4 linked regions of the Notamacropus eugenii genome follow. The main gene of each other region encodes a partner of the protein of the gene in region 3 in a complex. Links are inferred from orthologs where the notes say so. Each region holds a gene or a part of one and is shown on either strand. Other genes may lie near its edges. The genes, in order: HDAC4, CAMKK2, YWHAG and CASP2.

What was found.
Region 1: the proteins of YWHAG (region 3) and HDAC4 are in contact, whole or in part, in a crystal structure (PDB 3UZD), measured with the Homo sapiens proteins. The link is inferred for Notamacropus eugenii from reciprocal best matches to the Homo sapiens genes YWHAG and HDAC4. Residues at the interface, in NP_036611.2 of Homo sapiens: Asn43, Leu44, Ser46, Val47, Lys50, Asn51, Arg57, Phe122, Lys125, Arg132, Tyr133, Gly174, Leu177, Asn178, Val181, Glu185, Leu221, Ile222, Leu225, Asn229, Trp233; in NP_001365345.1 of Homo sapiens: Ser348, Pro349, Ser350, Leu351, Pro352, Asn353, Ile354, Leu356.
Region 2: the proteins of YWHAG (region 3) and CAMKK2 are in contact, whole or in part, in a crystal structure (PDB 6Y6B), measured with the Homo sapiens proteins. The link is inferred for Notamacropus eugenii from reciprocal best matches to the Homo sapiens genes YWHAG and CAMKK2. Residues at the interface, in NP_036611.2 of Homo sapiens: Ser46, Val47, Lys50, Asn51, Arg57, Arg132, Tyr133, Gly174, Leu177, Asn178, Val181, Glu185, Ile222, Leu225, Asn229, Trp233; in NP_001257414.1 of Homo sapiens: Leu99, Ser100, Leu101, Gln102, Glu103, Arg104.
Region 4: the proteins of YWHAG (region 3) and CASP2 are in contact, whole or in part, in a crystal structure (PDB 6S9K), measured with the Homo sapiens proteins. The link is inferred for Notamacropus eugenii from reciprocal best matches to the Homo sapiens genes YWHAG and CASP2. Residues at the interface, in NP_036611.2 of Homo sapiens: Glu15, Asn43, Val47, Arg57, Arg61, Lys125, Arg132, Tyr133, Pro170, Gly174, Leu177, Asn178, Val181, Glu185, Glu213, Asp214, Lys217, Asp218, Leu221, Ile222, Leu225, Asn229, Leu232, Trp233; in NP_116764.2 of Homo sapiens: Asp137, Leu138, Ser139, Leu140, Pro141, Phe142, Pro143, Val144, Cys145, Glu146, Leu150, Lys152, Lys153, Leu154, Ser157.

The regions. Positions count from the first base shown.
Region 1 is NC_092873.1:67,091,880-67,099,817, reverse strand, and holds the start of HDAC4 (histone deacetylase 4), read left to right. Parts: upstream 1-4,931; 5' UTR 4,932-5,206; intron 5,207-7,938. UniProt on the Homo sapiens protein: Responsible for the deacetylation of lysine residues on the N-terminal part of the core histones (H2A, H2B, H3 and H4).
Region 2 is NC_092875.1:36,536,023-36,543,672, reverse strand, and holds the start of CAMKK2 (calcium/calmodulin-dependent protein kinase kinase 2), read left to right. Parts: upstream 1-4,646; 5' UTR 4,647-4,790; intron 4,791-7,650. UniProt on the Homo sapiens protein: Calcium/calmodulin-dependent protein kinase belonging to a proposed calcium-triggered signaling cascade involved in a number of cellular processes. Isoform 1, isoform 2 and isoform 3 phosphorylate CAMK1 and CAMK4. Isoform 3 phosphorylates CAMK1D.
Region 3 is NC_092873.1:51,333,321-51,341,295, reverse strand, and holds the start of YWHAG (14-3-3 protein gamma), read left to right. Parts: upstream 1-4,964; 5' UTR 4,965-5,252; coding exon 5,253-5,339; intron 5,340-7,975. UniProt on the Homo sapiens protein: Adapter protein implicated in the regulation of a large spectrum of both general and specialized signaling pathways. Binds to a large number of partners, usually by recognition of a phosphoserine or phosphothreonine motif.
Region 4 is NC_092874.1:105,043,431-105,050,333, forward strand, and holds the start of CASP2 (caspase-2), read right to left. Parts: upstream 3,011-6,903; 5' UTR 2,947-3,010; coding exon 2,873-2,946; intron 2,859-2,872; exon of another isoform or gene 2,526-2,858; coding exon of another isoform or gene 2,439-2,525; intron 2,111-2,438; exon of another isoform or gene 2,007-2,110; intron 1-2,006. Other genes in the region: TMEM139 (transmembrane protein 139), read right to left, coding at 6,786-6,903. UniProt on the Homo sapiens protein: Is a regulator of the cascade of caspases responsible for apoptosis execution. Might function by either activating some proteins required for cell death or inactivating proteins necessary for cell survival.

The sequences.
Region 1 (7,938 bases), about 16 Mb from region 3:
CTCCTTTTTCCAACCTTTCAAAGGCCTCCAGGTCTTTCTTTTTCCAACCCTCCTTCATTTAAAATCAGAAAAGAGTCGGGCAAGAAGAGCCAAGACAGAGGTCCACAACGGTGAGAGACTTCCTGCTCCCAGCTGGCAGCATCTCATTCCCTGGAGAACTCACCAGATCCTGCTTCTCTGTGGGAGTCTTTTTCTATGCTCTCTCTTTTCTGGTACAATGGCCGGTTAATAGCAATGACCATCAGCACCATCACAATAGCCAACATTTATTAAGCACCTACTGTGTGCCAGGCACTGAGCTCAGCACTGGTGACATAAGAAAAGGCAAGCACAGTTCCAGCCCCCCAGGGACTCACTGTGTAATGAGGAGACTGGGAGTAGGCCACCTGGTACCTATGAGACATCTCAGCTAGGAAGGCTTAGGGGAAGGGGGTGGGGCAAGAGAAAGTGTGGGACTCTAAGACATTTGTCAGCTTGTCAATAAACAATGATTAAGCACTTACCAAGTACCCACCACTTGGTAAGCCCTGGGGATATAGTCACTGGACAGTCCCTGCCCACCAGGAGTTCACAGTGGAATGGAGGAGGCCACAGGCAACAAATGCCCACAAAACAGGATTATTAGGAAGTACCTGCCAGAGGGAAAGTGCTGGAATTTGGGAGAAAGCTGGGGCTAATATTTGTAAAGGGCTATGTCAATGCTACTCCTTATCTAGCCTGAAGAAGAGAGGCCCTGGGAAAGTATTTAAAAAGCTAGAGTGTGGACGAGATTTTAGGACACCACTGCAGGATCACTGACTGAAAGCTGGCAGGGTCCAATTTAGGAGAACTTGATTAAGGGCCTACATCACACAGGGAGTAAATCGGGAATCTGGGGCTCCACTCTCAAGGTTGGGACTCTGACCTTGACAGCCTAGGCCCACTCTTTTGCATAGCAGAGGCCAGAGCTAGCTCAGCAGGAGAGGTAAAGACCCTTCCCAACAAGGAAATCTGGTGGGAGCTGGGGGGAGTCAGTGTCTGAAGGGAGGCCTCCTGTCGCTGGGAACTTTCTAGTTGAGGCTGGATGCCACTTGTTGGGCGTGTAGGAGAATGGTTTTCTGTTAAGGTCTGGGTTGGATTGGACAGATTCTGTCTAGAGTGTTCCCCTACCCTTATGCTGACTCAATTTTACTGCTGAAGACCTAGAAAGGAAGATTTGTGACCTAGGTTGTGTCTTGTTTCTGAATATTCAAGTCTCTTCAAAGTAGAGGATGCCCCTGGCTGACTTACTCTTCCTCTAATGCCTGGACTCAGGGAGGGCAGCCTTTCCAGCACAGAGAGGACACACAGAGAGGCTGACCATGACAATCCAGAGAGGAGCAAGAGGCCCCCCAAAGCTGAGAAGCAAAGTCCCTATATTTCACCTCATTTCAACGTTCTCAATAACTGATGACGCCATAAGTTCACAGCTCCAGGACTGGGCAACACCTGGGAGGACATTGAGTCCTAGGAAACTGAGGTTCAGAGAAGTGAGGTCACCTGCCCAGGGTCACCATCAAGGAAGCCTTAAGTGCACAATTTGAATCCAAGATCTTAACACAGAATACCACTCTGCCTCTCGAATGTGGGACAAGCTGACTGTACACAAGTAGACTTCAGGCCTTGTTAATTAAAAAAGCCATGTTAATTCTGAAGGGCCTCCAACCTTGGATGGGCCTAGCCTTCTCGACAATTCTGTGAATCATCCTGCATAGAGCAGGTTTGTGGATGACACAAATCTGAGTTCCTGATACACTGAGCTCAGTGGGGTATGCTGTGGGCTTCTGAGCACCTGAAAGGTTGGGTCATGGAGGAGGAATTCATGTGATTTTGCTTGGCCACAGAGGGTTGATGTGCCCCAGTCTCAGGAAGGCCTTCTGAGGGCGAAGGACTCCACAAAGAAGCCAAGTCATGGCTTGGCCTAGGTGTATGTCTTCTTGGTCTGTCAACCAGGAATTATTCCTTCAGGGCTTGGAGGAGGGACTTGTTAGATCTGGAGGGTCCCATCAAACCCTAATTTAATGACTGAGCAAGAATAGTAAAGCCAGACTCAAACAAAGCCCTATTAGATGGTGAGCTCCTTGAGGACAGGGACTGTTTTGGGGGCCTTTCTTTGTAATCCCAGAATTTACAGTACAGTGCCTAACAACTGTGGGTACTTAAACAATGCTTGTTGATGACTACAAGCCTACCTATGAGGATTCATTTCAGAGTGCAGAGGCGGTATCTAGCAGCAGCAGAGACCTTTCCTTAAGCAATGGAGGAAGGGAGGGTGACTGATCCTCAGGAGCAGCCCAAACCTCTAGAGTGGAGGGATGGAGACCTTGGCTGTCTGAAGCACAGTGATGCTCTCAAGTGGCAGGCTGGCAGGGTGGAATTTCATTGTCATCACTATCCCTGGTGATCCCCTCACTTCTTATCCATTCATTCTAACTCCATGTTTTATATCTGAAGTCTCAAGTGTTGCCCCTTGAATGTGAGATGCCTTAGAAGGTCCCCGGGAGCTTGGGAGAGGGACTGATGTTGGGAGACATGGAAGCCTGGGAGTTATCTGTATTGAGCAGATCACGGAACCCTTGGGAGCTGAAAAGTCACCAAGAGACAGAGGGGAGTATTGAGAGAAAGGGGCCCAGGAACAATTCTCGGAGTACCCATCCACTCTGCTTCCCAGAAAAGATTCAGAGATTACAATCCACAGTGGCACTCTCAGCTGGGCTGGGAGTGTGGACTCAAGCCTGACCTGGAGGAGACTACCAGAATGTCACAGAAGGCAATTAAAATATTCATGAACCCAGGGCAAAAGTGTGTCTCTGTCCTCATCTCACTCTGGAAAGAATGCTGGATTTGAAGTGAACGCTAATTTTCTGTGTGACCCTGGATAATTCACTTCCTGGCTTGGTGCCTCAGTTTCCAAATATGTAGAATGGAGACAACAGCAGGTGCAGGCAGGGTATCAGTAAGATAGGCATTTGACCAAACTACACCAATTTAAACTGTTGTTGTCATAGAGAGTATCTGACTGGAGAATCCATTATGAAGAAACTGGTGGAAACTCCCTGCAGGCAGGGCTTATCCTTTTCATCTGGGTATCCAAGGGGCTTTGCCGTGTATGGCACAGAGGAGCTATGTAGTCCAGGCTTCTGGCTTCCTCCAGCATTCCTCAGAAGCTCAGAATTCAGCAGAATTTGGAAGAGGCCTTCAAGACCCCCTCCCCCCAATCTTCAGGACAAATGGTCACCAGTCTAATATTCCAGGTCTCCAGGGAGGGGGCCCATGGCACCAAAGCCCTCTCAGGCATCGAGTTTCCCCAGATCTCATGGGCCCAAGGCCTCAGTTGGTCTCAATTCTGCTTTCAGGAGCTGGGCCGGACAGGCCTCATCCCTGTCCTGCTGGATGGTCGGAGGGCAAGAGGACAACTGCCTCCCCAGCGGCCAAGGCTGCAACTCTTAATCCAGTTCAAGTTGCAGGTTGCTTTTTGGCCGAATTTCCCCAGGCATCTCTGGTTGTGGAGTCAAAGACCTTGGTTCCTCTGCTTCAGCCCACAAGATCTCAGTTCCTCTTTCCAGGCCATACATCTCCAGCCTCCAAGCCTTTCCTCAGGCTGAGACCTCTGCCTGGAGTGCCCTCCCTTCAAGCCTCACCTTTTCTTGGAAACCCTTCCTAACCCTCCCCGTGGGTATCTAATTTGCATACAGGTGACTGAAGCTTCTGCCTATTGGAGGGGGGGATCCTGGGGGCAGGGCTGGCCTTGGTCTCTCTTTGCATCTGCACTGAGCACACAGTAGGTGCTTAATAAATTTTGGAGCCTGAGCGGTGCTTTTGATGGGCTGCACTGTGTGACCTTGGATAAGTCCCTTTCCTCCTCCGGGGGCCTGCCATGCCCCACCTGGACGTTATCGGAGGTCCTTCAAAGCCTCTGCAGCTGGGGGGAGCCTCGGTTTCCTTCCGTGTAAATCGGGGCGCCGGCCTAGGGGGGCTCGAAAATCCCCCAGGCGCAGGGTCACGCACAGGGTCACGCAGGGGCGTGCCCAGTCCGACCCCGAGACTTCTAGGATTCTCGGACCTGGCGCCGCTGTGTGACCTCGGGCAAGTCCAGCACCCTCTCTGGGCCGGGGCAGGAGCAGCTGAGCGAGGAGGAGAGGCTGGGCGAGACCCCAGAAGGGGGCGCTCCTGCGTCCCAGGGCCGGGCCGCGCTTGCGCACTGGGCAGCGCCCGTCCACTAGCCCGCCCGACTTCCCCCTTACCCACTCACCCTCCCTCCCCGCCCCGTGCAAACGCAAGGGGGGGGGGGGGGGCCGCGCGCATGGCCGAGCCACGTGACCCGCAGGCTCTGCCCCAAGATGGCGGCCGCGGCCGGTTTAACGGTTCCCCGAGCTCGAGCTCCTGGTCCGTTGGGCCCCTTCGCCCCGCCCTCCTGCGCCCGCTCCGGGTGTGGGTCCAGTCTCTAGGCCAGTCCGACGTGCCCTGTCCCGCTTTTCCTGCGCGCGCGCGCCCCCTCACCCTGGCTCCGCGGGTCGGCTCTAAGAGGCGGGGCCGGCGCGCAGCGCTATTGACGGGCAGCCGCCGTAGCCAATCGGCTCCCGAACGTGCCTCTCCGGGGCGGGGTTAACCGGCGCTCCGTTTTCGCGTCGGGTCCTTCGGCTTTCGGGAGAGGGGCGGGAGCGACCTGGGTGGTGCCCCCCTTCCTCGAGCCGACCAATGGGAGGGAGGAGAGGTGCCCTTGGAGGGGCGGGGCCGAACCGTAATTGACGAGCGCTTCCTTAGGAGTCCGGGAGGAGGGAGGGCGGCGAGGGGGTGGTGACGCAAGCCCAGGTACACCAATAGGTGGCGGGCTGCGGGCGGCGGGGGCGGAGCCGTGGCCACTGATGGACAGCGCGGGCGGCCTATGGACGAGCGGCGTGGTGGGGGGGGCCTGAGCCTCCTGGTTCAACGTGGGTCAATTTTTTGTGAATGAGGAGGGAGGTTGTGGGGCCGCCGTCGCCGCCGTGGTGGGGAGCGAGCCAGTGCCCGAGAGCCCCAGCCCCGCCACCGCTGCCGCCTCCGCAGCCCGGCCCGGCCCGCTCCGAGCCCGGAGCCGCCGCCGCCGCCGCCGCTCCGAGCGCCGCCCCGGGCCCGGCCCGCCCGGGGAGATGCGGCCCCAGAGGGAGGCGATGCCCGAGCCGCGGCCGCCGCCCCGGAGCCCGCCCCGGTAAGTGCAGGGCAGCCGCCCGGGCCATTGTCCGCCTCCGCCCGGTGCCCACGCCGACCCGGGCCCCGCGCTGCCGTCCCTCCCTCGAGACAGACAGACAGACAGACAGGCAGACGGACTGACGGAGCCCGGCCCGGGACACAGACCTCCCCCTCCCCCAGCCCCCGGTTCTCTGCCCCCCTCCCCCAGGCGCGGGTCCCCACTTGTCATCCCCCTGCCCCCTCCCCCAGCACCGTGCCTGTCATCTCCGCCCCCCAGCTGCGTCTCCCCCCGGGCTTCCAGCGGGGCTCGGCCAGCTCCCCCAGCCCCTGCCTCCCCGCCCGGCCCGGCTCGTTCCAGGGCGCCGCTGCTGCGCCAGCAGGTTGGAGAGCATCCTGCTGGGGGGGGGAGAAGGGGGAGGCGGCCCCAGACCCCCACCCAGCCCCCCCGCCGCGCTTCGAGCAGAACGGCCGATCTCCTGGGGAACCCCCTCCCCGATGGGGATCGGTGACCCCAGCGCTGGTGTGGGATTTGGGGACCCCCCCAGTCCAGCGCCAGCCCACCCCTCTCGTAACGTCTGGAGTCTGGGGGCTGCGGGGCTGCTGAGTCCCAGCCTGAAGCCCTGGGCAGATTGAGGACAGAGATAGGTGCCTGGCTGCCTGGCGTGGGCTCCCCGAACCGGTTTGGTTTGGCGTGTGTGTGTGTGTGTGTGTGTGTGTGTGTGTGTGTGTGTGTTGGGCGTGGGGTGGGGGGGGCGTGGGGGGGGCGCTGAGCAAGGAGCTTGCGAATGGGGAGGCCTCGCCACTCGCGCCCAGCCCCAGACTGCAGAGGAGTGAGCGCCTGGCTGGAGCAGGACTGACCCATCCTCCAGGGGAGGGCTGAGCAGCGGGGACCCCACGGGCTTGGATGCGTCTCGGGTGTGTGTGGGGGGCAATGGGGAGGGGAGCTAAGCCCACAGTAAGAAACTGCAGTTCTGAGGCTTCATTTTGTCAGAATGGAAAAAAGGAGCGACCGCTGGCTGAAGTCGCTGCAGCGGAATCCATCCCTGTGCCAGGGCCGGGATCCGCTGTAGGGGGCCTGGAGATCATGCAGCTGGACCTCTCCTTGCCCGGGAAACTGAGGGCTGGGGCTTGAAGCAGCTCAGATCCCTCCCAGCCAGGAAGGAGGGTTGGGCTGCCTAGCAGGCCTGGGTGGCTTTCATTCGGAATGGTTTTCTCAGCCTAGGGATGTTGCTGGGTTATATTATCAGAACTCCTCTGGCATTGCAAAAACACAACATGAAATGAGAGGCAACTTATCTTTTATTTCCTCTGTACGCAGACTGATTGGCCACTGGAATAGCTGGAGACCTTCTGTGTGCCCCAGAAGGGCCTGTCTCGGAAGGAAGGCCCATCAACAATTTCTAATAACTTCTCTCTCTGATTAGGAAGGTTCCTTTTATTGGGTGGCTGGAAATTGACCTGCTGTGACACAATTTTCAAATAAAGCTTTGTAGAAATTAAACTTAAGTTATTTTAAACTAATGACTTTCTTAACTAAATCTTAATTGCATGACTACAGAGACCAGCCTAATTGCCTAATGAAAAAAATGCCTGCTGGTTCTAGGTAGGGAGTGTGTCTCTGTCAGCATCACCGTTACCGGTGGTGGTGATGGCTGGGCTGGAGGCTCAATCTCCTCTGCTTGCCCCTCCGATGGCCTTTCTGGTCCTACCACAAGTCCCCCGAAAGCATCTGAAAGCCTAGTGCCTTTAAAGAAAACAGGCTGGGCAGAAGTAAACAAACAAACCGACCAGACTGCCAGCCAGCCCTGCCTGTCAGCCTAGCCTCCCCCACCCCCTTTTGTAATAGGATCGGGCCCAGGCGGTTGCCTGGAGTTTTAATTGTTTCTGATAATTCCCTGCCTTATTTTAGGGGCTTTAGATTCAAAGCCGCTGTTGTGGTTTCTGAGCCTCAAACTTAATGGGGGTGTGTGTGGGGGGGTGGGATGGAATGAAGAAAACTCAGCTGCATGTGTGCAAATAGTCACCGCGGCAATTACGAGGCAACAAAAGTTATGGCAGCATTTTGCGGTAGCTATGGCAACACGTTTACGCGATTATAATTGGAAATGCAAAATGCCACCCAGTCAGAACTTTTGGCAGTTGTAGATTTGGGGGTAGGCTAAAGCTGGAAGTAGGCCTTTCTCTCTCTTCTCCTCCCAGGCGCCAGAGGGGCCCCCCAAAAAGAACATCAAGGTCTCTATCCTTTTCTCTTTATTAGACTTTCTGAAAGTTCTGTGATACATCATATGCATAACATCCCTCTAAATTGGTGGCACCGGAGAGCTCAAATATGTGTGGGAGGGAAGGAAGTATTTTCATGCCTTCGATTTTTTTCTTTTTAAAGACTTGGATCTCTGTTCTAGGCTTTTGTTTTAAAGATCAGATCCTTTCCCCAAAGTGAGCATCCACGAACCAGGACACTTGGGGTGGGGGTGAGGGTGTCTGGCTTCTTCTGCCAGCTCTGCCCTTGTTACCTTGCTTGGGGTCTCCCCGCCACTACCACTTGCTGGCCTTACTTCACCCCCTCTGTCAAGTTAAGGGTGTGTGCTGAGTGCCCTCCAAAGGCTGGGAGGAGAGATCCCAGCAGGATCTCTGGCTATAAGCTTGGCCTAGCAGGCCATTACCCTCTTTCTGATTCATCCTCCTTCTCTAGCTAGGTGAAAACCTATTGAGGCAGATGAGGGGGTGCTCTGGTGGAGGGTGGAAGGCCCA
Region 2 (7,650 bases), on a different chromosome or scaffold from region 3:
TATATTATTTTAGTAATGTCTTTCAGGTTTGCAGAGCTCTCTCTCTCACTCTCCTCAATCCTTCATAATCTGGCTTGGGACCCCATCACTCATCTGAAAACTTCCAGCCCTGAAATGACCAGTTATTATTTTTTGATAATTTATTTTTCACTTTTTTTCTTTTGAGATTCTGGGTTCCCAATTCTCTCCCTCTCCCACCCTTCCCATACCCACAGAGAAGGCAAGCAATACAATATCAATTATACATGTGAAACCATTCAAAATATATTTCCATATAAACTCTATTTTAAAAAAAGCAAGAAAAATAAGGAAGTGAGAAAATTATATTTCAGTTTACCCTCAGAGTTCATCAGTTCTCTCTCTGGAGGTGGATAGCATTTTTTCATCATGAATCCTTCCAAATTGTCCTGGATCATTGTACTGCTCAGAGTAGCCAAGTCTTTCACAATTGATCATTATTGCAACCTTGTTGTTACTGTACACAATGAGCTCTCAATTCTTCTCACTTCCAGTTGCATCAATTTATACAAGTCTTGCTATGTATTTTCTGAACCTCCCCCTGCCCCTTATCATTTCCCACAGCACAACAGTTCTCCATTCCAATCATACACCACATCTTCGTCAGCCATTCCCCAATGGGTGGGCATCCCCTCAATTTCCAATTCCTTGCCACCACAAAAAGAGCTGCTATAAATATTTTTATACATGTGGGTCCTTTTCCTACTTCTTTGATCTCTCTGGGATACGGACCTAGTAGTGATATTGCTGGATCGAAGAGTATGCAGTTTTATAGCCCTTTGGGCATAGTTCCAAGTTGTTCTCCAGAATGGTTGGATCAGTTCACTAGTCCACCAATAGTTCATTAGTGTTCCAGTTTTTCCCACTTTCCCTCCAGCAGTTGTCATTTCTGATAGGTGTAAGTAAACACTTGTACCTCAGAGTGGTTTTAATTTGCATTTCTCTAATCTGTAATGATTTAGAGCAGGGGTGGGGAACTCGGAGCCTTAAAGTGGATCAAAAATCAATAGGATTTGTTTGGTAAAATTTGTATTCAGTCAAAGAGCTACAATTAAATATTTAGAAGGCCACATGTGGCCTTAAGGCAGGTTTCCCACCCCTGATTTAGAGCATTTTTTTGTATGACTATAGATAGCTTTGATTTCTTCTTCTGAAAACTCCCTGTTTATATCCTTTGGCCATTTATCAATTCAGGAACAGCACTTTTTTTTAAAACATTTTTCTCTAATTAGATGAAAAAATAATTTTTAACATTTAAAAAATTTTTTTGAATTCCAAATTCTCTCCCTCCTCCTCCAAGATGGTAGGTAACCTGATATAGATTATACATGAATGATACTTATTTTTATAAATTTTACTCAGTACTATATTCATAATATATTTGAGAAATGAGGTCTTTATCAGAGAAACTTACTGCAAAAAATTTAATATTACTTCATTGTCAAGAGTACCTTTTAGCAAAACATAGTTTCCCTGATTATCCCTTGTAACTAGATATGCTTTTGCTTTTGCTTTGTCTGAGGTCAGGATTACAACCCCTGACTTTTTTTTTTTTTTTAGTTCAGCTGAAGCATATTAGATTCTGCTTTAGCCCATTATTTTAACTCTGTCTTTCTGTTTCAAGTATGTCTCTTGCAAACAACATATTGTTGGATTATGGTTTCTTATCCATTTTTATCTACTTTATTTTTTATCTTCCATTTTATGGTTGCGCTCATCCCATTCACATTCACAATTAGGATGACTACTTGTGTATTTCCTCCATCCCATTTTCTTCTGTTTCTTCTTTTCTGTCTTTTTATCTTTTTTATCATCAGAAGTCTATTTTGCTTCTCCCTTAGTCTGCTCTCCCTTTTATCATCTCCTGTCCCCCTTTATCTCATTCTCTTCCCATCTTTGAACCAATTCTGATGACAATGAGGTTCAAGCATTGCCTGCCATTTTCTCTTCCACTGTAGTAGCTCTTTCTGGTGCACCTTTTCAGGTGAGAAATTTTTCCCCATTCTACCTTTCTCTGCCTCCTTTTCCTAGTGCATCTCTCTCATCCCTTCATTTTTTTTGGAGCTCATAATCGACTCACTTCTATACTGTCTATGTAAACTCCTTTTAATTACCCTAATAATGATAAAGTACATATATTATCTTCCTGTATAGGAATGTAAAGAGTTAAACTTTATTGAGTCCCTTATGATTTCTCTTTCATGTTTACTTATTTATTCTCATTTTCTCTTTGAATGTCAAATTTTCTACTCAGCTCTGGTCTTTTCATCAGGAATGCTTGAAAGTCCTCTATTTCATTAAATATCCATTCCCCCCCCCCCCCCAAGGATTATATTCAGTTTTACTGTGGTTGTAATCCTATCTCCTTTGCCTTCTGGAATATCATATTCCAAGCCATCCACTCCTTTAATATGGAAGCTGCTAAATGTTGTTATCCTGACTGTGGCTCCACGGTATTCGACTCTTTGAAGTATTTTTCTCCTTGATCTGGGAGATCTGGAATTTGGCTATAATATTCCCGGGAGTTTTCATTTTGGGATCTCTTTCAGGAGGTGCCTGGTGCATTCTTTCCATTTCTATTTTACCCTCTAGTTTTAGAATATCAGGGCAGTTTTCCTTGATACTTTTTAGCCACTGGAGTTTATTGAGTGTGTGTATGCATGTGTGTGTGTGAGACAGGCACAGAACTCATCTTTTCCCTCAAACTGTCCCCTCAATAGCCAACAATAGTCAATAAACATTTATTAATGTTTAACTACAATTAACTACAATGTGGCAGTCATTGTGCTAAGGGCTGGGGCTACAAATAGCCCCCCCCCCAAAAGTCTCTGCCTTCAAGGAGTTTACAGTCTCATGGGAGAAGATCATATCCTAAAGGAAACTGAAAAGTGAGAAGAGGTAAGTAAGGTTGGAGGGAGGGTCAAAGAAGTCCTAAAGGAGAGCAACCAGGTGGGAAATGAGGTGCTTGTGCTGAGTTCTTTATTAATTGGAGATTTTGGAGTTCATGGCTCTACCCTCCAATAAGTGGGGCAAAAGGTTGTTGCCTTACCCCATTAGATAGGAAGCGCCTTGAGAAAGCAGGGATTGTCTTTCTTTTTTCGTATTTGTACCCCAGTGGGGGGACATGTAGGTGGGTACAGTGGGTAGTAGGGCACCAGGCCTGGAGTCGGGAAGACCTGAGTTCAAATGCAGACACTGAGTTCAAATCAGACACTGAACCAGCTGTGTGACCCTCGGCAAGTCACTTCACCCTGTTCGCCTCAGTTTCCTCATCTGTCTAATGAGCGGGAAAAGGCAAAGGCAAGTGACTTTAGTCTCTTTGCCAAGAAAACTTCAAATGGGGTCATGGACAGTCAGACACGACTAAGCTACGACAATTCCTAGTGGGAAGGCTGAGGGGTGACTACCAAGGCTTTCTACCAAACTTTGCTACTTCTGTGGAAGCCACCCTCAGTCTCCCAACGAGCCAGGTTCCTTACCTAGGTATTATGCTCCACTTCTCATTCACCTTCGTGCTGACACACGCAATCAGAGGCCAGGTCTTGCCTTTTCTTTTACCTCCCACTGCGTCTCTCTACCCACGGAGCTACCACCTTAGTTCACGGCCTCAACACCTAGACTACCGCAGCAGCCTCCGAAAAGGCATCTCCCCACTCCAGTTCCTTCCACGCCGCTGCCAAAGTAATCTGCCTTTGGACTGACCACCCGACTCGTCCACTTAACACCGGTGACTTCCTGTTTCTAGGCTGAAATAGAAAGCTTTCTGTTTAGCTTTCAGAGTCCTTCCCCACGTGACCTGAGCTGGTCTTTCTCGGCCGGCTTGTACCTAGGGATGAGAAAGGGGGGCTTCCCGGAGCTTTCCCAGCCTCGGGGCTGGCTCCCAAGGATGGGGATGCTTGGTATGGGATAACTCCCTTTCTCCTCCAATGGGCGTCTAACTTCGCCTACTTACTAGCCACTCCCGGGCACTCCTGCCCAGTTAAGTTCTGGCTGCTAGGCAGAAGTGAGGAACAGCATCCCGGAGGCTGGAGCTCTTTGCCTCGGTTTCCCCGGATTTCCCCCTCCCCACTGCTTCCTAGCAGTGGCTCCCACATTTCCCTGAAGCAGTTTGCAAGCGTCCCATTTGGTGGGGATCTGTGTGTGTGTGTGTGTGTGTGTGTGTGTGTGTGTGGCATCTGTTTTCTTCTTTCTAAGTGGGAGGTGGCCCGCGGGACAGGAAAAGCAGAGGTATTACGGGCGGGGTGGTGGTGGGGGCTGGGGATCTGGGTTCTCGGCTCTGTCCGCTGGGTGAACTTGGCGCGAGCGGCTTCCCCGGATTTGCCCAATGAGACTAATGCCCTCGAGCCAGCGGGCAGGTGGCAGATCGCTGGAGAGAGGCGCCCAGGCGGGAGAGGGAGGGTGGCACCGTCCGTCCCCGCCATCCATCCCTCACATCCTCCCGGGCCCTCCCCGTCCTGTGGCCGCGGGCCCCGAGAAGCCAATGGGGAGCCGGCGTACAGCGGCGCACATCTGGGCCACTGAGCTGGGCGCCGGGCGGCCAATCCCCGGACCCGGCGGCTCGTTCCTCCTCCTCCTCCACCTCCTCCTCCTCGTCCTCCTCCCTCCCTGGCGCGGAGAGGCCGGGTTGCAGCCAATCGGCGCCGCCGCCCGCGCCGGCCCGGCCACCCCAGCCCCGCCAGCCAGAAGCCCGGCCGCCGCCGCAGCGGCAGCCCCAGCCCCGGGGCGCAGGACCCCGGACAGCCCCGCCAGCCGCGCGTGGGACCCAGCGCCGGGTGAGGACGGGAGGGCTCCCAGCGCACGGGGAGGGGCCGGGGCGGGGGGCAGCCAGCTCGGGGTGGTCCCTGTCCTTCCCGGAGGGATGCTCGGAGCCCGAGCCGGCGCAGACAAAGGGGTGAGGCCCGAGAGGGCCGAGGTGGGGCGCCTCCACGTGGGGGCCCCCACCCCGTGCTCGGTCACGGTCACGGCCGAGGGGGCAGCCGGCTGGAGCTGCGGCGCTCCGCGACGCCGGGGGTGGGGAGGCAGGGTGGGTAGAGGTGCCCGCCGCCCTAAGTTCGCCAGGCCCCCGGTGGCCCCGCCGACTCTGGTCGTTCAAGGTCCATCCCTCCCCGCCTCGGCCTCAGCCCCTCCCTCCAGTGCGTACCCAGGCTTGGCCAGCAGGGGTCCCGGGTCCTGGGCAGCCCGGGAGTCTGGCCAGGGGACAGCCCGCCTGCCTACCTCCCGCTGGTATCACTTCCTGAACAGCGGGGCTGGGACCCAGCACCCAGAACCCAGGGGCACAGGCACGGCGAAGCAGGAGCCCTCTGTCCTGAGCCCTGGCCTCTCCCCATTTGGAGTCGAGGGCACCTCCGAACCGGCCCTACTGGCCAGGATGTTCCCCTTCACTGACAGTTTGTTTTAAAAGCTCAGATGCCACCCTGCCATGGGGAGAAGGACCTTTTCTTGAAGGCTCTAAGATAGCCAGGCAACTTCCCGAGCCAGTCCTGATAGTGGGGCAGAGGTTTGGGATCGGGTCCATCTTTTGTCAGCCCCTCCCGGCTCCCTCCCCGGTGTCCTGGGCCCTGGAAGCCTTTCCTAGTTTCTCCCCCTCCCGCCCCCTTCTGTCCTCATCTTAGCAGCTGGGTGTTTTCACAGTTCCACCAACTTCCTCGCGGTTCTCACCTGTCTCCCGGCCAGCCACACCTCCTGCTTCTGTCTCTCTTTCCTAGCCTCAGGCCCCCACCAAAGTCAAGAGAGGTGGGCGCTTTAGGTCAGACGCTCAATAGAAGGCAGAGGTACAGCCCTGAAGCCTCGGTTCCCTCCTTTATATATAATGGATAGATGGGTCTTGGAAAAACAGAATGTTTAGCCATTCACCTCCTGGATACCGAACTTTCCCCTCCTGGCTATCTCACTTGTTTCTAGGGATGCTGGAGGAGAGCTGGGTAGACAAAAGAAATGTTCCTAGAGGGTGGACTGGGTGGGGGTGGAATATCCCTTTTCCCATGGAACTGTTATTTTACTTTGGACATTCCTCATCTTAGGTGGGAAGGCACTCAATGACTGGGTCAGAGTCCTTGCCCCATCATTCTTTTTGCCTAATTTGGGAAGGTAAATTTACTTACTTATTAGTTATCAAGGTGATCTACAGACCGTTTAGGGGTGGGCGGGGAGGGATCTAAAGGTGAGCCTCAATCTCAGGGAATTTACCCTCTAGATGGAAGGCATACAAGTGCAGTATTTTAATACTTAGGGTTCTAGAGATGCCTTATGAGGGTGGAGAAGGTGATGCAGGGGAGTAGAGTGGGCTCTGGGCCTTGGAGGCAAAGGCCCTGAGTTTCAGCCCTAGGTCCATTGCTAGCTGTCAGTCACCTTGTCACTTAAATATACTAAGTCACTTAAGTATGCTAAGCTAGTTTTCTTCATCTCTTTTTGGATACTTTTAAGGGTCTGTGAGATCCTGAGTATGGTTCTGGCGTGGATTTAAATCCTTCCTTTCCTTCTTGGGTGACTCTTGTCTGTGTTCCCTGCTCTGGAGACCTTAGGGTCATAGACACGGAGATTTAATGCTGGAAAGGGGTTCAAGCCCTTCCTTTTGGAAGTGAGGAAACATTTTTTTCTCCTGGTGCTGCTCTGGTTTCTCTTTTTCTTTCTTCTCATCTGTAAAATGAAGGCAATTAAACTTGTAGCTCTGGGCTTGTGGTGGGGGAAGTGCTTTGGATTAGCGTGTGGTGCTGTCACTTTCTGACTTCTCTGCCCACACAGCCACCATCCTAGTTAAGGCTCCCATTACCACGCTAGCGCAGTGGCCTCCTCACTAGTCTGCCTGCCTTCGCTCTCTTTCCTTTCCAGTCGAGGCCCAAGCCAGACTGTGAAGGTCTTTAGATGCCAAATGGAGGAGTTTGAATTTGGTCCTAGAGGAAATAGGGAGTCACTGGAGTTTCTTGGGCAGGGATAGACCATGGTTAGACCTGTGTTTAGTGAGACCTCTTAAGTGGTACTTATGTGGTACTCTCTCCTGTCCATTATCCCTGTTTAGCATTAATAGTAATTATGCTAACGATAATAGCTAGCATTTATACAAGAGCAGCTAGATGACACAGTGGTTAGAGCACTGGACCTGGAGTCAGGAAGACTCCTCTTCCTGAGTTCAAATCCAGCCTCAGACACTTACTAGCTTGATGACCCTGGGCAAGTCACTTCACCCTCTTTGCCTCAGTTTCCTCATCTGTAAAATGAGCTGCCAAAGGAAATGGCAGGTCACTGTAGTGTATCTGCCAAGAAAACCCCAAATGGGGTCATGAAGAGTCAGACATGACTGAAAAATGACAACAAAAACAAACATTTTTGTCGTGTTTTACATATGTTATTTCATTGGGTTCTCATAATAATCCTGTGAGCTACATACTGTTAATATATCTGTTTCACAGATGAGGAAACTGAGACTGAGAAAAGTTAAGTGACTTGCCCAGGGTCAAACAGATAGTATTTATTCTTAATCTTCTTTTCACATCTTCCCCCTCCCCTGTCAACTGGAATCCCTAATATCCTTCAAATCTCAGCTTGTCTCACCTCCTGCATGAGGCCTGTCCATAATTTCCTCCCACCCCAAATTACTCTGTATTATTGACTTTCCTGTACATATTCGCCCCAACA
Region 3 (7,975 bases):
GGGGAAGAGAATAAAGTAAAAAGTGCACAGTAGAGAACAAAGAAAACCAACAAGAAGGCAAAGAAAAACTGGGCAGCTTTGAAAACAAAATGTAGTATTTATTATATAGGTTTTCTTGAAATATAAATTTATTGTTTTATATTGACACCTCTTTCATGGTCTGCTGTGTACATGGCAATGTTTTTTTTTCTGTTTTTATTTTGTATTTACGTTTAAAATTTTTAAAAATTTACAGAGAGGGAGAGAGAGAGAGAGAGAGAGAGAGAGAGAGAGAGAGAGAGAGAGAGAGAATAATGTTTGATCATGTACTTAAGAAAGGAAATCCAAAGCAGGAAAGGCAGTCAGAGGTTCAGGTAGAAGCTTTTCTATTTGGTACCATGCTCCAATGTGGGAATGGTCAAAGGTTTGGGGGTGGAGGAAGAGACCTCCTATCCTCCTACCTCCTTACAGGAAACCTAGCTACAGACCTATTTGCCATATGGGAGTTAGTTTTTAATTGACACAACCATCCATGCCCATTCTGTTGTCAAAGGTAGGGGAAGGACCAAGGGACCTCTGAAGATTTGATATGAGATGTTAAAGTGCCAAATTCTTTCACTGCTGAGTCACACATACATAATCATATCAATAATAATAACGGCTGGTATTTATATGGCATTTTAAGGATCTGCAAAGTGCTTTAATATGTTAAATCATTTGATCCTCAAAACAACCCTGTAAGGTGGTCTTATCACCACCACCACCACCACCACCATCATCATCATCATCTCACAGACAAGGAAAGTGAGGAATAAGGTTAAGTGATTTGCCCAGGGTCACACAACCAGTAAGTGTCTGAGGAAGGATTTGAATTCTAGTCTTCTTGACTGCACGTCCCTAATTACTTTATCACCTAGTTGCTTCTGGCCCCATGTGATTGGCCATAAACAGTCCAGGAATCCCTGAATATTCTGTGAAATCCCTGTTACATGAACTCTGAAGGCAGAAGATGGGATGCTGTGAACAGAGAACAGCAAGTTGTCTGGTTTGGCTAAAATGTAACCCATGAGGGGGAATAAAGTGGGATCAAGGGTCTCTAAGTGGTTCAGTGGAGAGAGCACCAGGTCTGGAGTCAGGAAGACCTGAGTTCAAATTTGACCTCAGATACTTATTAGCTGAGTGACCCTGGGCAAGTCACTTCACCCTGTTTGTCTCAGTTTCCTCACCTGTCAAATGAACTGGAGAAGGAAACGGCAAACCACTCCAGTATCTTTGCCAAGAAAACCCCAAACGGCTTCATGAAGAATTTTCTCAACTGAAAGTGACTAAAACATAATCAGCCTAGAAAGATAGGTTGGACCCAAGCTATCATCAGGCTAGAGTGACAAAGAAGGAATTTTAATTTCATCTTAAACACAATGGGGATGCCCTGAAGCTTCTTGAGTCAGGGTGCCACATTCTATTTCTAGCCCTGAAAAGAAAAAAAAAGATGAATGAGACAAAGTCCCTGTCCTCAAACAGCTTATAATCAGGCGGGACTTCTTCCTCTTCCTCCTCAGGAAATGTGTGTGTGCTAGCCACACTGGATAGGAAAAACCGGAAACCTGCCTTAGTAATGGTCAGCTACTGGAACTGGAAGGACTAGGAGGGACATGAGAATATTGTTTCCAGGTGAAATGTATGGAACTTTATATAGTAGTAGCCCAATGTAAACATGGTAGCCAGGCCCAGAAACCTTTGGACAGCCAGATAGAAATAAGCAAACACAAGATGGCAGAACAAGGGCATATACTTTTTAGGCTAAAAAGGCCTGCCTGGAATTTTCTGTGTATTTCTTTGAATATGTTTAATATTGCAGTAAGTTTGAACTAAGAGCAGGACTGGTTTTTGTCTTTTTAAATTTTTAAAAAAATATTCCCACTACTTAGCACAGGTCTTGGCCCACAGTAGGTGGTTCATAAATGTTTGTAGACTTGACCTAGCTGGGGAGGTAGGAGAAACCTTTCACCCAGCTAAACTGTTTTCTGGATGTTCCTTCCTCACCAGACCTCTATCCTTAATCATCTACATGAACAGAAGGGGTTTGGAGTTGAAAAAAAGACCAGGGAACTCCAAACCCTAGAGCATTTACTTATCTACTTTTCCTCCTCTAGAAAACTAGGGGGTTGGGCTTCATAACCTCTAAGGTCCCTTCCCGCTCTAAATCTATGACTCTATTATGTATTCTTCCAGGGAAATGCAAGCTCCTTAAAGAGAGGGATTAATTGGTTTTTTTCTGTAGCCCTATACGGTAGACATTAGTAAACGTGTGTTAACATTATTCATTGAACTGAGGTCTTAGAAACAGGCCTCCTGGTCCTCTTCAGGACTGTGTGATAGTTTGGTCTTGTGGATAGTTTGGTCGTGTGTGTGTGTGTGTGTGTGTGTGTGTGTGTGTGTGTGTGTGTGTGTGTGTACCCTCATTTGAATTCCCAGGAGGCCCATAAAGTCCCAGGAGGACTACATAAGGATTGGAATACTGAGGGCTTAAGAGTCATGCACACAGTTTTTACTGTTCTCTTAGGAAAGTTGCAATGTAGGGCAGTTGGTCATGCCTGTTTCCTTTTTGCCTCAAGTAGTTTCATTTTGTTGATGAATCACAGTTCACTTCCCATTTATACCAAGGTAGAGAGAAGTGAGGAGCAGCCCTCTGTGGCCCTGTCATCCAGGCCCCTCCTTCCTTCCTACTGAGAGCCAGGTTGTTAGCTAGATGCTCTCCCTGGGCATGAGATCACCATCCTATCGATTGTTCCAGCTGGACGCGACCTTCATTTTGTAGTGGGAGAAAGCCAGGCCCCCAAAGCATAAGTGATTCACCCCGGGTCACACAGTGACAGATATCAATCAAGAGCAGGAATCTCCATACTCTATGTCCAGGACTCTTTCCAAATGACCATGAGGCCAGAGTCCATGACCTGTGATGGAGAGAAATGTTGATTCATTCCAGAAGACAGGCACTGGACTTCTGATTTCATTAAAATCTATAGTGAGGAAACTCTGTCAATGAAAGCCAGAACCTTCTCTGCAACCTCTAAATTTAGAGAGTTGTCTGCAGCCCTTAGAAATCAAATGACTTGCCCAGGGTGACATAGCCTGTGTTAGAGTCAGGACTTGTACTCAGTTCTTTGTGACTCTCTGTGCATTGTGTACCCAACCAAAACCAGACTATGTCCTTAATGGAGGAAAGTGTTAGAATGTTCATGGACAGCTTTGTTGAGGAGTAGGGATGGACCTTAGCATTTTATTCTGTTCAGGCCATTTCAATCCAATTCAACAAGCATTTATTAGGCACCACAAGCAACAAATTGGTAAAATATACATTAAGCATTTTACTATGTACCAGGCGCTGTGCTAAGCACAATAAATATAAAGAAAGGCAAAAACTCAGGCTTTCCAGGAGGGACAGGAGGAGACAGCAGGCAAGCAACTGTGTGCTGGCCACACTGTATAGGAAAAACCGAAAATCTTCCTTAGTAATGGTCAGCTACTGGAACTGGAAGGGCTAGGAGGGACATGAGAATATTGTTTCCAGGTGAAATGTATGGAACTTTATATAGTAGCTCAATGTAAAAATGGTAGCCAGATCGATCCATCGATCTATCTAATATTGGTCCGTATTTATTAGGATATATGTCTATTGAGATCTGTCCATATCTGGATATATCTATCTTGTATCTATCTAGATACACACCTATGTCTATCAAGGCCGTTAGATATTTCATATATCTATCTTGCAAACAACACACAATGAAGGCATCTCTATCTGCAGATTGCATATCTATAGATATGTAAGGCTATCTGCATCTGTAGATTGTATCTCTATAGATAATAGAAAGATCTCATTTGGTCTCACTTGGTCCCAGCCAGGTTAAACTGGATTTAATCTCACTGGAGGCAGGTGGAAGGGGGTGATGAGCTGGGTGCTGAAGGAAGGACTCGCGAGAGTCCAGGACACCGGGATGGGGTGGAGGAACATCCCAGGCTCCAGGTGCAGGGGACGGAGAGAAGGGACTAGGGGTCTGGGTTGTCCAGGGTCCTACTGGGGATCCCAGTGCCTGCCCTCAGGGGCCTTCCACTCACTCTCCCGGGGATCACCATAATAGCTAAGTGGGAGGACACCGATCCAGGAGGGTGGACGGTTCTTGGGCTGAGCCCCGAAGGGCCTGGGGATCGGAGGGGGAGGGGAACAAGAGGAGGGGGGCAGTTAAGGAAGTTCGGTCCCAGGTTGTGGGGGGTTTTTACAGGCCAGCAGAAGATATTGGATTTGATCCCAGGGGTAGTAGGGAGCCACTGGAGCTTACTGAGCAGGAGGGTGACAAGGAAAAGAGCGCCCACCCCCACCCCCCATTCAACCAGGGTCAACATCCCTAGAGAACAGGATTGGGAGGAGGAAGGGAGGGAGGTGCGCAGGCCCGGGCCGGGCTGGGCTGGGAAGGGGGGAAGGGCGGGGCTGGGCAGAGAAGGAGAGGGCGGAGCCTCCGGAGGCAGTGAATCAGCATTCCGTCTGGGTGACGCATGGCACGCCGCGCCCTCCCTCCCCCACTCCTCCATGGTTGCGAGTACAACCCGGGGAGAGGGGCGCGCCCAAGGTGGCGCTCCCACCCCCACCCCCGCCCCCTGTGGCTCAGGCTCTCTCCCCCAAGTCCCTCCCTCCTTGTGTAAGTGCCCTGCTGCTAAAAGCCCCACTCTCCTCGGCCTCTCCCCTCCTTCAAAGACCGAGGGATTTCCGCGCAAAGCCTCCTGGGAAGTGTAGTCTTCCCTTCGTCAGCCCAGACGTTATCAGAGGATCTCGCTCCCCGTGGACAGAACTACACGTCCCAGGGGTCCTCGCGACGAGGCGGTGACGGGAGAGGACGAGGAGAGGGCCGAGGAGGCGGAGGGGGGAAGGGGGTCGTGGGGCGGGGCCTCGAGCTGACGTCAGGACCGTGGGCGTGGCCGGAGGGGGTTGTTCTCCCGCGGCACGCGCAGCAGCCGCAGCCGCCTCGCGCCGGGTTCCTCCTTTGCAGCACGAGCCTCAGCAGCAGCAGCAGCAGGAGGAGCAGCAGCAGCAGGAGCAGCAGCAGCAGCAGGAGCCGGAGCCCGAGCAGCCTCTGCCGCCGCCGTCCCGCGGACGTGATTGGTCGGCCTGCCGCCCGGGCTTGAGCCGTCGCCGCCGCCTCTGCCGCGCGCGCCTTCCCCGCCGCCGCCCGCAGCCCCGCAGCCCCGCAGGAGCCGGCCCGAGCCGCCCCGCGAAGATGGTGGACCGCGAGCAACTGGTGCAGAAAGCCCGGCTGGCCGAGCAGGCGGAGCGCTACGACGATATGGCCGCGGCCATGAAGAACGTGAGTGCCCCCTCCCTCTGTCGCGACAGTGCCCGGGCGGCCCGAGAGCCTTGTCGCGATAGGCCCCCCCCCCCCCCGGCCTCGTGTCGCGACAGGGCGGATGGCTGGCGTGAGGCCTCCATCCCCATCCTTTACACTGCTGGGCTGCCAGATGGGGGGGGGGTCACCCTTTGTGCCCTCCCTGCAGTGTGGGGGGCGTTGGGAGTAGGTGGGGTGGGGCTGGGGGGGGCGCCGCGTCCATGCGGTCGCTCTTTGGAGGTTCCTCTTTCTCTGTCTGTCTGGGCGGCGCCTCTCCCATTCACTCGCCAGCCTGCGCCTGCTTTCTCCTTTCTGCTCCCCCCACCCCTCCCTCCCCTCCCCCCACCCCGGAGGAATTCAGGAAGGGGGAGTCGGGGTGGGGGGCAGAAAAATCCCTGGGTCAGTTAAAAAAAAACCCAGTCCTTCCGAGATCGCCGTGCGTGGCTCTTATTTGCTCAGTTTCTTCTTTAAAAATGCCCCCACCTCCTTCCCCTTCCTTCTTCCTGCCTTCGGGGAGGAGGGATGGGGGCTGGGGGGGGAGTATTTTACCGTTTTATCATTTTCTTTTCATTGTCTCGAACGTATCTCCGTTTTTTTTTCCCTCTCAGACTTGTCAATTGAAACATGCGGTATTTCCCCTTAAAATAAAGGTTATGCATCAAGCCTAGTGGTTCAATTTGTGACATTTGCTGTTTCTTTTCTAAATGCAGGCATACATCTATTGAAATCCTTATAAGTTAAAAAAAAATCATCTCTCTGATCTGATCTTGCAAACAAAGCGATCGTGGGAGGCAGTATCAAGTCATTCCAGAAGATTCTGCATTTGTCATATTGCAGAGAGGCTAGACTGGGTGGAGGGAGGGAGGGGTTGCTTTAAAGGGGGAAAATGTTTTTTTATTTGTTTCGTGACACAGGTCTGAGCTCTTTTTTTCTCCTTTTAATAAAGAAAAGGCTGGAGTGTCCCCTCCTGCTGATGAAAAGGAAATGCTGATCTTGAAATGTCGCAGCCTGTCTGGTGCACAGATGTCTGCCTCTATTGCAGCATTTTTTCAGTAACCTTACATTTATCAGAGGGGCAACATGTCAGCATGCTCGAGAACGGGGGAGGGAGGGAGGCAGGGTTGGAACGGGACCAAAGGAACCCTGGAAATGGCAGGATCTGATGGATGACTTGAGTGCCTCCGTTCTAATATTTGGCAGGCTCTTTTCAGGTATCCTTGACAAATAGATAACAAAGGTATACAGTTATATAACTAAGGTATTAAAAATACACCAATTAAAAACTGGATGACTGAATAAGCCAAGTATATAGGATAAATCCTCCTTAATTGGAAGATCCCATGTATTATCATGATTTCAGTCACACCTATGTAAGTTGAACTGGATCATTAAAGTAGGCCATGCTGAAACGTTTTATGTTTAGACATTTAAAAAGAGTATTAGGAGGGTAGGAGCTCCCTGCTAGAATTATATTACAATTGAGGGTAGATGCTCTATCTAGCCTGTATTTCAACATAATATCGGTACCATTGATAGCTTTTAACCTTTCATTCAAACCTCAGTTTCTTCTTTTTGCAGTATATTAGCCTGGGCATTTTAACAGGCCTTGATCTTAAATGGATTTGTCTTGACTGCTGTCTTCCGAATCTTCTAATTCTTCCTCATTTGCAGTTTTTCAGGAAAGCTTATGACCTCGCACTCATTGCCTTAGCAACATGGTGATGTCACACATAATGGCACCGAGGCTGCAATGCGCCCGGGTGGTAGGGAGTGTTCGAATGGCCCATGGCCAAGGTAATGCAGAAATGTGATATAATACAAGAGCCGAGTGGGACTGAAAATTTTATTGTATATACCCTGCTGGAGAAAATGATATTTGTGATAGGATGAAGGGTTGTTCCACTGTCCGGAATATTTTTACCATATCACTTTGCCTTTAGACATACTAATCAGTGACCTCCAGATGTACATTGGGGCTGATCATCTTTCTATCTTTAATGTCACATCTAGCCATTCTGTAGGATGACAAACAGTGGAACACAAAGAACAATTGGTAAGCAGCTAATATTTGAATTTCTTGGTATGTTTACACTACACTTGGATTCAGCTTTAAACAAAAACTTAAAGTTCTCCTAAAAATGAACTTTCTTGAACAAATAGGTGAGTTTATTACCTGTACTTTGGCCTAGTCGTAGAGCTCATTAATCAAATCACAGGATTTGGACTTGAATTAAGGGGAGTGTTTTTATGAAAAGTATTCACAAGGTATATAGTAGATTCAGCAGCAGCCTCGAAAGGGCCTTAGGAAGACCAGGGTTCAAATCTCACCTCCTTAGAGGAGTGTGGCAGCTTGATGGCTCAGTGGGTAGAGAGCCAGGGCTAGAACCCGAGTTCAAATTCCATCTTAGACACAAATGGTGGCTATGTAAACTTACAGTTAGCAAACAGGGAACTTGTCAGCACACTTTAGAATGGGGGAGGGAAACATGGAACTTCTAGGACTAAAGGAAACTAGGAAATGCCATGATTCCCCGTGTAAGTCGCTTAACCTCTTGCCTCAGTTTCCTCATTTGTAACATGAGGATGAAAATAGCACCTACCTTCCAAAGTTGGCACAA
Region 4 (6,903 bases), on a different chromosome or scaffold from region 3:
AGATGAGGTGGAGGAATAACAGAGGGATGGGACTAACAAAGCCTCAGTTTTGTATATATTTTATTCTGTTTTTATTATGTCTATAAAGAAAATATAGACATGGCCTTTTAAAGAAATCTGTTACCCCAGAATACAACTCCTTCTTACACACTTCAAGGTCTGCATATACAATGCAGTTTGATAGAGGTGTATATATGGCTGGGTGAGGTCTCAGGGTTTAGAGAAATCAGTTTCTTCAAAGGATTCTGCAAAGAGAGGAAAATCTTAAATCTAACGGACATCATTGACTGAGATTGGCAACAGATTTGTTTAAAATGAGCCTAGTAAGAAAATACAGCAACTTTAGACACAGTCTACACAATTTCATGATGAAAACTGTTTTTAAGTGAAAACAGTATCTCTGGTCTAATTAAGCTGATGAAACTTTAACTGGGTTAAAAAGAACTCAATCTCAATGGGAAATGACATTGCAGTAACTGTCAGAATCTGGCAAGAGGGTGACAGGAAAAGACTGTGACAGGAAGTAGTAAATCAATGTTACTAAGTGATAAGGCCATGATATTATAGAAAAACAGATGTCTCAGTTCTATGGGTCTCATTGATACTGCAAACAGCTTAAGAGGGGAGAGACAATATGCAAAAAATTGTGTACAGGTAAGGTATCAGGATAACTAAAGATAATTTTACTTGGAAGGCAATAATACTAACATCTCAAAAATTATCAATATTTTCAGGAAAAAAAATCACACAAACAAGTCACTTCTGCAAAAGAAATTTTGCACAGAACGAACATTATTCATCATCATCCTCAAAGTAACTTGAAGTTCTAGAGTAGACAGACATTTGAAAATGTAGGTTTTCCACAATTACTCACACTGACTTGGAATGTTAAACCATTTATCTTGAGGGAACATAATAATTTCCTAACACCTGAATACTACTGTATCAATTTGGGAAAAGGAGACTGTAACAGGTAACTTATCTACCCCAGAACAGCTCGACCAAAGACCTGCCAACTTATTCTCAAAAGGACTCTTAAAATGAAAGTCTGTTATATGGGAAGACAACATAATGCCATTTATTAATAGAAAGTGAGAGTAAACTGGTAACAAGTTGACAAATGTAGCCAAGGGTCTAGTTCAGAGATATGGATAAACTGGTAAGACAAATGTGTGGGAGGGTATAAAAGCATATGAAGAGGGGTACCAAAAGGTGAGGAAAAAGTACCATGAAAACTCTAATCTGACAGTCCCATATTTGGAATCCCCTCTGCATTGCTCTAATTTTATTCTCCTTAAAGCCCCAGTGGAAGCTTTCCTGTCCTAGGCCATAAATCCCTCAAGGGCAGGAATCAAATCTTATTAGTCTTCATACCACTACCAAATACTAGAGTGTGTTCCACTCATGGTGGGTACACTCAACATTTCTTGACTGGAGGCCAACCTCCTCAGTGAAAACTCCAACTTGGCCTACAGTGATTATACCTTTCTTTGTAATCCTTTAACTCTCAGAATCACAAAATTATAATGCTTGTAGAACTAAGGGAGGGAGCAGGAACTTATTTTCTATACCATCCATTTAGCTACACACTAAATCTCTCAAGAACTAGGCAATTCATGGTTTGCTCAGGTTTAGAAGTGGAATGGCCTTTAAAGCCATCTAGTCCTGGAGAGATGAAATTATCTGTTCCTGGTCACCCAGGCAAAAGTAACAGACCCAGTATTTAAATCCAAAGTTTTGACCTTCCATTGTTTAGCACAGTGGACAGGAAAGTGTCAACTGCCATTTAGATATACTAAAAGTGAACTGATATTCAGAAAAGAAGTGGACATAAAAACAAAAGATATAAAAAAATTTAAAACAAATGACTGGGATATATAAAGAAACGCAACACTAATTATTCGATTTTAATTCAGGGATATCTTCTTTCTTTTGCTCTTCCAGGCAAAATGAATGGCCTGGAACCCTTTTAAGTATAAACAAATATGTAAAAAAAAAACAATTACGTTGGTAATAGAGCACGGGAAACTCAGAGGCCATCTGATCCAAGCCTCAGTCCAGGGGTTTATGACTTGCAAGGTGGGGGCTGGTGCATGAATTATTTTTTTTCCTTTAAAAATATTTAAATAATTGCATTTCAATAGAACTGGTTTCCTTTGCAACACTGTATTTTGTGGCATTATTCTGGGTCTAAGAGATCCATGACACCCTCCCCTTCCTCCCCCCACAGCCAGGTTAGGAGTCCCTGCCTTTTACAGGTCCCTCTCAATTTTTCCTTCGGTACCGGGGGATTCAGGGGGCTCAGACCCCGCCCCCTCCCCGAAGGAGGCTGGGAGCGCTGATGTGTTCCCTCACCACGCCCGGGCCTGGGAGCTCGCTGGCAGGTAGGGGCCGAGCTAGGGGTGGGTGCCCACTACTCCCCCACCTCCCGAGCTTACCCTACGAGGCGCTGGACCCCGGGCCTCAAACACCTGCAACTGTCCCGAAGGATGTGAGCGGATGGAAGTCTGACTCAGTTTCCTCATCTGTAAAACGGAGCCAATAAGAGTCCCTCCCTTCCTCCCGGGGATATCAATGGGACCGTCTGCACAGCTCACCGCACCTAGTAGACGCTTAACAAATGCCTGTTTCCTGCCTACGGGAAAGGGAAGGTGGTAGCTGGTTCCCAGGAGGGGCTTTCTCCGCCCTTAGCGGGCATCAGGCCCTCCCGTGGGGAAGGGGTCGGCGCCCCCTGGGTTGGGGGTCAGGGGTCGGGGGTCAGGCCCCTCCGGCAGCGAGCCGCGGCCAAGGTTCGGGGTTCCCCGCCGGGCCTGGAGAAGCAGGCCCGACTCGGGCTGCCCGGGCTGCTCGGACTGACGCGGGCTCCACTCACCTGCGCCCCCCGTCCACAGCCGTCGACCCCCTTCGGCCGAGGCCTGGGCGGGCTCCTGCGCGCGCCTCCGCCATTTCCCGCCTTTCTCAGCCCGGGCGAGAGCCGCCCACTCCACAAACAAATGAAACGCCCCCTCGGGTCCCACGCTCCCGCCCCCGACGCTTTCTTTAGCTCCTCCCTCCTCCTTCGCGATGCTGAACGCGCCTGCGCGCGGCCATTTCCACCTCAGTCCCGGGACCAAACCTTTAGCTACAGCACTCTAGCCGCCACGGGGAGGCGTGCGCAGGCGCAGAGCTCCCCGCTCCGGAGCTTTCGACCTCCCCCCGGAAGAAGATGCAGAAGAGGCGGGGAAAGACGGAGACGACGTGCTCGCTCCCCACGTCGGGATTGGATTGGTCGTAGATTCCCGCGGAAACTGACGTATTTGCCCGCCCATTCTAAGACCCCACCCACCACCTCCCTTCCTTTAAACAACCCTTTTTTTTTTTAAAGTAACAGCCAGCGGAAGTAGGCTTAATGAACTCCTAGAACCTCACTCCCCCCCCTCCACTCTCACTTTCCCGAGGTGGAAACTGAGGCTCAGAGACAGCTTTGATTGACCCAAGGTCATGCCGGTTCAAAAGTAGCAGACCTTGACCTTGAATCCAGGTTCCTGGGCTACCGGGTCCCTGGGCTGTTTTAATGGCCGAGCAGGCCCTTATCTCATTTCCGATCTCAGGGCAACCAAAGAAAGAATGAAGTTCCAGGGTGTGTTGAAAGCCGTTTATTTAATTTTCAGTGTGATCCTTTAAACCCCAGAAATGTGCAAACATGACAAATAAGGGCTTGATTTATTGTTTTGTTAATTGTTCAGATTTAAATTTTGTTGTGATTTTGGAGAGTCGGTCGTTAAACATTTATCTGCCTCCCACTCGCCTCGAGTTAGAAGAGGGTTATGTAACTTGAAACAGAAAAACAATTTGACTCGTTAGGAGGACAGACAGAGGGTAGCAGAGGGAGACAGCCCGGCACCCTGAGCCCAGGAGTGTGCCCCGAACCATCAGACCTACTTTCTACCCACCCTTCACAGCCATCGCTGAAAAATCTTAGTGAAGGGAGGGCCCACCTTCCTCATCACCACCAGCAACCATAATCAGATAGGCACAGAAGCTCTGAGATTGGCCACACCTCCCAGCCCGCTGGTCCTGCCTGCTTCCAGCCCAGCCCTGCCAGCCATCATCTGCAAGAGAGGGGTCCTGCCAATCAATTCCAGGGCTCACACAGGGCAGAGATGGTCGGACAGCCCAGGACCCTGAACCCAAGAGACTTAGGGATAGAAATGCTTCCAACCCAGTACCCTCGTCCAGCATCTAGGGAGAGGCAACCTGGCCTACAGGTACTACAGTCATCCAGAAAAGAAAGTTTTTGTCCTCAAAGTCCTTGGCACTGTCAAATGGTTCAGCATCAGAAATTGATAACATTTTATAGTGACATTAGAGAAGAAGTATCTGCTTTGCTACTGCTGTACCCTTGAGGACCTTGGGACTTTTCCATCTTTTGTATTTGCAGCTAGACTCTTTCATATATGCTGTTTTTCTCATTAGAATGTGAATTCCTTGAAAGCAGGGATTCTCTCTCTTTTTCTAAAAATTTGTATCCCCAGAACTGAGCAAAGTGCTTTGTACTAGTAAATACTTCATGAAAGCTTTGTTCATTCATTCAATTAACTTGCCTAATATCAAATTGGTGCCAGAGTCTGGATTAGAATCCAGGTTTCCTCACTCCCAGTCAGGTGCTCTTTTGGATACAAAATGCTGTGCTTTGGCTTGGCTTCTTGATCCCCACAGTAAAGGTCTTATGGATCTTCTAATTCCTGAACCAAGTTTACCTGGCCAGGACCTTAACAGAACTCTCCCTGGAAATAATACGAATAACAATAATAATTGTTCATACCTATGTAGCAATTAGCAGTTTCCTTTCACCTAAATTCAGATATATACTCATCATCAGATGAGTTCCCTATTTCTGTCAGATACCACCATCCTTCCAATATTTCAGGTTCATAATCTCAGCACTATCCTGGACTCCTAACATCTTTTTACCCCAAATATCCAAGCATTTGCCAAATCTTAACCATTTCTACCTCTGCAGCATCTCTATAATGGCAACACATCTCCTTAATATCAACATATTACTCCCCTTTCTGTGCTCATGAGGAGGTGAAACCAGGCTTCTCTGTTTCTCACTCACAACGCTCCATGTCACTCACTTCTCTGTGCCTTATCACTGGCTGTTCCCCATGCTTGGAATGTATTCCCCATTTACCCATACCTCATAATTCTTCTTTTTCCTTTAAGTATCTCAGGCATCATCTTCTTCACGAAATCTTTCCTGATACTCCCAACTGTTAGTGCCCTCCTTTCCAAATTACCTTGTATTTTTCTAATGTATGTGTGTGTACAGCTATATCTATATATACATACATCTGTATTTACACACATGTATATTATGTTACATGTGTATGTATGTTATGTATATATACATTTGTTAACTTTATGCTGTACGTATTTTTATATATACTCTCTTCATTAATAAACTCCTTGTAAGGAGGGAGTGTTTTGAACCTGATACTTGTATCATCAGTGCCTAGTACAGTGCTACATAGTAGTCAGTTATTAAATATTTGATTGATTGAGTGGGAGGACAGCAAAATAATTAAATCATGAATTGTTGCACTTTACAAAGCACTTTATAGGTTTCCTTATTTGATCTTGACAACATTTTGAATTTGTTGACACAACTGTTATTCTGATTTTAAGAATGAGGAATCTAAGGCTTTTGAGGTTGAGGCTAGAGCTGAATTTAATAAGATGACATTTAATAGGGTTAAATATAGAGTTCTACTCATGAGTACAAAAAAATCAAATAAGGAAGAAGTTAGGATTGTGTATAAAAAAAATGTAGAGGTCCTAGAAGTTAATAAATTCTATGAGTCAACAGTGTGACACAAAAGTCAGGAAAGTTAATGAAAACTTAGATTAAATGAATAGAAGTAGGGAGGTCAGAACACCCTGCTTAATTCACATCCGGAGTATTATGTTCAGTTCTGAGGACAAGATTTTACGACTGTCTTTTGACAAACGGTGCAAAGAATAAATAGCAATGATGAGAAGATGGGAGAACATTCTAAATGAGTATCAACTGAAGAAATAAATAGTGTTTAGTCTGGGGAAAAAAAGACTCAGGGAGAGAGAACATGATGGCAAGCTAGTCTGTGATTGGGTTATAAGGAGGAGGAATTAGACTCTGATTGGCTACAAAGCAAAGCAAGAAACAATAGGTGGAAGTTTGAGAGAGGCAGTTTTTGGCTCAGTGGGAGGAAGAACTTTGTAAACCATAAGAACTGTTCCAAAGTGGAAAAGGCTGCTTCAGGAGGTGGTGGATTCCCCTTCACTGGAAGTCCTCAAGGAGAGGTTGAATGACTTCTTGCCAGGAATGTCAGAGAAAGGATTCCTACTCAGATAAAGTCAGACTAGCTTACCTCTATAGTCTCTTTAACTTCAAAGTTTGGTTATTGAGTGACTTGTCCAAGGTTACAACTAGTGATAAGAGTTGGGTTTTTAAATACAGTTCCTCCATCTTCTTGTGAAATTAGGATGGCAAGAGCAACACAGAAACCCCCCATTTCCCCTTCTCTGTGGTTTTACCAGTCCACCCCCGTCATTACAGGATTAAAATGGGGAAGCCATTTAGACCCTGTCACTGTGGGCACAAAGCATGGACACAAAATAGAGGTGCCAGTCATATCATATGTCTGGGAGAGGAATTGCACCTTGATGGCCTCTTCCTCTTGCCAGGTACCAATGCCTGCTCAGGATATCCAGGTAAAGAAGATCACTAATGGGGAAATCTTTTATGTTCAGGGAACACAGCTTTAGGGAGGCATCCAGCCCTCTTCATAGAATACATCATCATCATTGATATCTTGGTAATTAGGTCTGAACTCATATGCTGGGGGTGGGGTGAGAGGTTCCAAAGGTGGCAGACTTTGC